Linked DNA regions of Drosophila melanogaster. The protein of the gene in region 1 interacts with the protein of each later gene in a pairwise test. Each region holds a gene or a part of one and is shown in the gene's direction. Other genes may lie near its edges.

Evidence for each region.
Region 2: the proteins of CG5676 (region 1) and CG30355 interact in a two-hybrid assay, tested with the Drosophila melanogaster proteins (one large-scale study listed by BioGRID).

What each region holds. Positions count from the first base shown.
Region 1 is NT_033779.5:10,254,110-10,257,606, reverse strand, and holds CG5676 (uncharacterized protein), read left to right. Parts: upstream 1-1,715; 5' UTR 1,716-1,791; coding exon 1,792-1,886; intron 1,887-2,336; coding exon 2,337-2,529; intron 2,530-2,592; coding exon 2,593-2,775; 3' UTR 2,776-2,997; downstream 2,998-3,497. Other genes in the region: Pten (phosphatase and tensin homolog), read left to right, coding at 1-212, 1,101-1,120; Ror, read right to left, coding at 3,010-3,222, 3,282-3,414, 3,492-3,497.
Region 2 is NT_033778.4:8,678,632-8,681,819, reverse strand, and holds CG30355 (uncharacterized protein), read left to right. Parts: upstream 1-1,866; 5' UTR 1,867-1,991; coding exon 1,992-2,326; intron 2,327-2,383; coding exon 2,384-2,609; 3' UTR 2,610-2,674; downstream 2,675-3,188. Other genes in the region: Acsl (Acyl-CoA synthetase long-chain), read right to left, coding at 215-369, 435-710, 772-1,035, 1,099-1,271, 1,334-1,808, 2,686-2,892, 2,952-3,188.

The sequences.
Region 1 (3,497 bases):
AGAGGAAATAAAACGAAATCATATATTTAATCAACCGTCCATTAAGAAAACTGATTTAATCAAATGGCAGAATAGTGAAGTTCATATCACCTCTGACACTCGAAGTATAAACGAAAATAAGAACATCAATTACAATTCATACATCACATGTAAACAATCCTCTCCAAAATTCAACTGTGGTACCGAAGATGGCGAGGAAGATTGGGAATCCGGTGAGTTTGCTGCACACTATACTCTCAATGACCAGATCTCACTAAAAATCTATCCGTTTTAATCGAGTAATACCGAACAATTGTTCTAATTTCACATTTATTTAATACTAAGAGTTTCGATTCAATTGATTTCTGGACCATTATCGGTTTGATTTTGTAATTAATTGTATTGTATGAGTATTCAAATTAAGATTTGTTAAAAGAGATAGCCTTTATCGACATATGCTATCGTCCACACATTTATATTCTTATTGACTTATTGAATTCGCCAGAATAATCACCCGAGACGATTTAAAAGACTTCTGGCTGAACGATCTCTTAATTTTGATGTATAAAACGAAGCCACCAGAACTGGATTTATATGTCCCCAAGACTTTTACGAGTATACTAGCAGAGACAGGCTTACACAGATCCACTTCCTTTCACGGGGAAACGATCGATTACAGCTGCGCTCTGCACATCTGTTTAGAATTTAATGTACATAGGTGAGTGAGTGGGAGCCCATGCCTGCGGCTCGAATGGTCAACTAACCGGCAATCCTTAATCAGTATCCGCATCGATTTTCATCACACATCCCTCACCGCTTCATAAGTATGTGACTCTGGGCACTGCCATTGTCCTTCTACTCAATTCATTTAACAAAACTAGCACCGAACTGTCGAACTTCGACTAATTCGACTATTTCACTGTTGCTGTTGAAAACTAAATATCCTGAAGCAGAATGTGTCTTTTGTGTGTTTCATCATCATCAAAAGTCTTCTGCTTTTAATTCATTCATGCTATTTTGATTTTTATCGTATTCTCGTTGAGTTTTAGTTAATAAATTCATTAAGCTTGTTTGAGCAAAAAAATCTAAACTAATAAATGAATATTTTTCTTTATTTCCAGGTGAATCAACATACCTGTAATCAATGCTTATTACGGACTTATAATTCTTGGTGATTTAGCAAAGTAATTAAAATTGCTAAGTAATTGGCTAATCTATTCGAATTTGTAAATATACTGTATGATATTTATTTAAGTAGTTTTAACAATTATTTTAAATAAACTCATGTACATTTTGTATTGTAGATTTCATTCGAACTTTGGGTTTTTGTCTAAAGTAAGGGGGGAGAAATAATTGACGTTTAGAAAAAAATACTTAAATTTATAGTTTTGATCTCGAAACTAGTTTTCGACACGAAAAGTGCAGCGATTAAATGGATATCTCATATTTTATTGGAATTTAACTAATAGTTTCAAATGAGGCAATAGCTAAGATAAATAAATAATAAGAGGTTCTTGAAATTTGCCAATTGTTGTGCAAAGCATACAGGATTCACAAAGGTAATTATCAGATTAATAATAAATATTCAAAGTATGATTATTCCAGTTTCTACGTTAAGTGCTACCAGTTATTTTTCTTACTCTTTTTCCCATAATTCCCCTAACATATGTTCCACTTCCGAGTTCCAATAAACCCAACACAAAAATGTTGTCCAAATTGACGCTATCTTGACGGGCATATATTATTGTGTTAAATTGACGTAAACTGGGCGGTCAGAATTTCGCATCTTAACGTCGACATCTAATTTTAAAAATGACTAATTATTCGGAAATTTTTAAGAAAGTTTTTAACGATATTGGCCAACGTTCAGCATATTCGCAGATGCTTATTGGCGTTTCATCAGGATGGTATGTGGTTATATCATTGCGGCGCATCACTTAAATTTTTAGCAATGCCGATTGTCTTTGGAATTTGAAGTAAATTGATTTTTTGCATACTTTCGGTAATAGCTGGTAGATAACTGCAGAATACGTTTTTAATTAAAATATACAACTGAATGCTTAGCCGCTCCATCTATTGCAAATATGTACTTCTAAATACGTGTATAAATGAATGTTGTTTGTTTGCGGGATACAGAAATATAGGACCTCCCTAAAAAGGAAAAGAACTAAATAGTGTAATAAAATGAGTTATTAATCAGATAAAACTGATATAATTTGCACAAGATAAGCTAGATAACTCGGCAATTTACTATACATGTATATGCGCCAAATGATGAGTTGCAAATTTAAGGAAATCCATAGAATTTGCTGGAATTTGTGTATCTTATCTTACTAAAAATATAACAATTTTTTCAGGGTCACAGGATATACGACAATGAAAATAGGCAAATTTGCTGCCTTTGCAGTTGGCGGCAGCATAATCTTGCTCGAAATCGCCCACCAAGAAGGACTTATAAAAATAAATTGGTCTAAGTTGGATAAGAGCGTGGATAAGCTCGCCGATAAAGTGGAAGCCTCGCTGGGTCGTGAGAAGAACTGGAAGGATAAGGTATAATTCATTTAAACCGTTTATCTATATGCTTACTATATTTATGCTGAACTCAATTTGCAGACCGAAAGATATGTCGACAATCAATTAGACAGAGCTGAAAGCCTCCTAACCCGAAACGGCAAGAAAGTGGCGAAATGGTACACCAAACTGATTGGCGATGAAGAGGGTCCAAAAGTCAACGATCTGCACATATTTTTGGCATCATTTTTCGGTGGCGTTGCCCTGGGCATTGCTACTGGATAAAAGAATTTTCCGATTGGCACAACAAAACATTTAAATACCATATGGTTATTACGAACAAATCTCACTTAATAAAGTTACAAAAAAGGTAATTTAATCGAAAATCAATTGGTTCTTTCCCAAAACATCTCAACACTCTTCGGGTTTTCGATATCATTCGTTTTATTAAATTCTTAAACCTACTTATTTTACAGTCCATTTCGTTGAAAATACATATGTATGTGTAAAATCTTATGTTTACATTTCTGGATTACTGGCCTTAAAGTGGCCCTCGTGCCAAGTTTTGAGACGGTTCGAAATATCTGTGAATGTTGGACGTTTTACTGACTGCTCATGCCAGCACTCGATCATTAGCGAGTAGACAGCAGTGGGACAGTTTTCCGGAGCGGAGAGCAGTTGCCGTGAACGGATGAGATTGATTACTTCCTGATTGCTAAAACCGTAGTATGGCTAAAGGGATAGCATTGGAATTAGATATTGCGCATTTAAATCAAGTTTAAGATACTTGCCTGCATTCCATAGCTGTATATTTCCCAAAGAACGACTCCAAAGGACCAAACATCGCTCTCGGTCGTAAACTTTCCATACAATATCGATTCCGAGGGCATCCACCTTACAGGCAATAGCGACTTTGACTGAACTCTGCAATAAAAACCAGCAAAAATGTTTGCTCTTTGTAGCTGCAATCTTGATATATATATGTATATCCAAAGTCTTACCGATAA
Region 2 (3,188 bases), on another chromosome or scaffold:
GCGCAATGTGGCTAATCGGTTCCTGCATGTACTGCTCGGCATTTAGATCTTTTAGGACTTAAGCTAGTTTGGTTTTGGATTTCGTATGCATGCTTATGCTGTGTGGGGTGCTACTAAAAACAATTAGTACACACTAGCTTCATTGCTGCTGCTTTAATGTTTGCGTGTTGTTGTCGTTGCTGCATCTGGTACCTCTGGCTTAGTACATTGACTTTCATGAGGCGTACATGCGGTTAATATCATGCTGATATCTGTCCTGGATATCCTTGCGCTTCAGCTTGAAGGCGGCGGTTACCAGCCCCATGTCCGGAGACCAGACCTCCTTACAAAGTGTGATGGCGGCGGGAACCTCATATTTTTGCAATTTACCTTTAAGATTAAACAATTTGCCATTAAAAACTTTGAAAAATACTCAAATCTGCATCGTAGCTTACATTTCCGCGCATGCTCAGCAATTTCCTTGAGAATAGCCTTCTCTATGATCGGTGATGAGCACAGCTCCTCAAAGGACTTATCACCCAGGCCATGTTTCTGTGCCAGCTCCTCCAAATGGTTTTGGTTGGGAACGACCAGCGCCACTGTGTACTGCTTTGTCGGATCTCCGTATACGCAAATGTTCTCGATGATTCCGCAAGTCTTAAGCTCAGATTCAACTTTGCCAAGGGAAACATACTCGCCGGCCTGCAGCTTAACCAGATCCTTCTTACGATCTGCAAAAAGCGTATTATAATAAAAAAAATGAAAGAAAAAGCACTGTGCTAAATAACTTACCAATAATCTTAAGTACGCCATCAGCTTGTATTTCGCCAATGTCGCCGGTTTTAAACCATCTCTGTCCATCCTCCTCAAAGAAATCCTCGTTGGTCTTGCCGGGCAACTTGTAGTATCCCTGGGAGACACACTCGCCACCAATGAGAACCTCACCCTGGGGATAAGGTTTATTTGTGACGCGGTAGTTGCCTTCTTCCCAGTTGACTAGACGGATGTCGCAGACAGTTAATGGTCCTCCAGTGCGTCCATAGGTCATATCACGGTCTTGTATTGGGTATAAAGTTATTTACTTGTTTTCAAAAGAAAGGTCGATCTGCGATCACTTACAGTCCATGACAGTGGCTCCAGACGTAGTTTCCGTAAGGCCATAGCCCTGAATCAGCTCCAAGCACAAGCAGGTCTTGATCTGCTCATGTGTATCTGCTGACAGAGGCGCTCCGCCAGACATGATAATGCGCACTTTGCCACCCATTAGCTTTGCCACCTTCTTGAACACCAGTCTGCAAGAAAAATAATAGTTTTAGTTAGCAACTCATGATATTTATGAGCACACCGTTCTTACTTATCAATCAGCGGCGTCTTGTACCCCCTCTGCACCCACTTGACTTTGTACTGGTAAAGGAATTTGAAGAGTGATTTCTTGAACGCCGAGCCAGAGTTAACCTTGTCGTTAATACCCTTGGAAATGCGATCCAATATCAGCGGCACCGAAGTCATGCAGGTGGGCTTCAGGACGGTGGCATCGCCCTTGCACCCGCGTTTGATCTTGCTGCTAGTGTCGATCAGAGTCAAGGGGGTCGAGTAGCCAATTGGAACGCCAGTCATGAGACACACACTTTCCGCAACCAATTCAAAAACGTGAGCCAGGGGCAGGAATCCGATCAGTACATCATCCGGATAGATAGGCACCATATCAACAAATCCCTTCATTGTCGCAATGCAGTTCTTGTGCGAGAGGAGGACACCCTTAGGTGTGCCAGTGGATCCGGAAGTGTACATGATAATGGCAATGTCATCTCCCTTGGGTGGAACGTGCTCTGTGGGATACAAAATAAAGTCAATTAGTACTAGTTTAATATTTAACAAATTCCTTGCGCATAGCACGCTATACATATGCTGTCAACATTTCAGTGCTGAATTAAAAGCGCATACTTTCGGTAAACAGAAAGAACTCTTTCCAAATTGTGTAGGGTGATTTTTTAGTTCAGACACCATTCGAAATGGCTGAAGTCCTAGAGGAATTCATCACCCTAACGCCCTTGACTTGTGTGCAACAATGCAATGCTTTACTAGGCTCAACATCAGGAAAGCCGAGAAGCTGCTCCGTATTTTTTACACTATTTGGCGTATACTGCGGCGTTCTCATCTTTCGGGCGTATCGCACATATTCCTCTAAGCAAGAAAGAGACGAGGAAAAGATAACCGAAGGAGTTACCCTTGAGGCTAAGGAGGAAGATTTGATCATAGGACCTGGTTCCAGTCTTGTGAACGAATATGTAGAACAAACGAAGCCGATTCTGTTGCAACCCGTCGGTTTTTCCAGTACTGACATGAGGTGAGAGTTGTAGATTAAAACACTGGATGACCCATCAACACATTCTGTCTCGATTAGATGGCGCTATTGCAACCACTTGCCGGAAGCAGAATTAGCACAAGGCTCTGATAGTGAAAACAGATCAACCGAAAGAGATGACATTGATAACCTCGAAAGGATGAGCAATGTTGTGGATGATAATGATGCGCAGAAGCCGGTTGCATCCACATCGATGGCAACGGCTCGGGCGCCTGAGGATAACGCCGATGGTGAACACGTCGAGCCCACACCATTTTCGGTGTGAAACACGATGCATTTTAGCAAATTTATCGTGTAATTGACATAAATAAATCATCTTTTAAGACCCTTTCAAAACGTACCAAATTTACTGTCCTGTCCTGTCTTGACAACTTGGTTAAACGGCAAGATCTTGACGCCCTCCTTGAAGCCAGTGGTTTCTGTCTTTTGCAGCTGATCCTCAATATAGATAATAGTCTTCACCAATGGGCATTTGTCGAGCAGCGTCTTAAACTTGGGCAGCAGATCATGGGAGGTGATAACCGTGGTGACTTCCGTTTCGGTGATGCCTGGCAACAGAGCAAAATATTATTTAAAAACCATACACATGGTAAGCCAATTTACTCACAATGAGCAACTCCATCATCGCCCAGCGTAGCATAGACAGTGACAATGGGCATAGCCTGCTTAAAGCATCCGTGGGCAGCTATCATCCATTCGGCTCGCGTTTCGGCAAAGATGACAATGTTCTCGCGTGGTTTCTGGCCAAGTTCTCGCAGACCGCGCCCGAAATTAGCCGCCGTGCGCTCCGCCTCGGTGAACGTCTTCCACTTGTAGTCACCGAGGTTGTACTTCTTGAAGACTC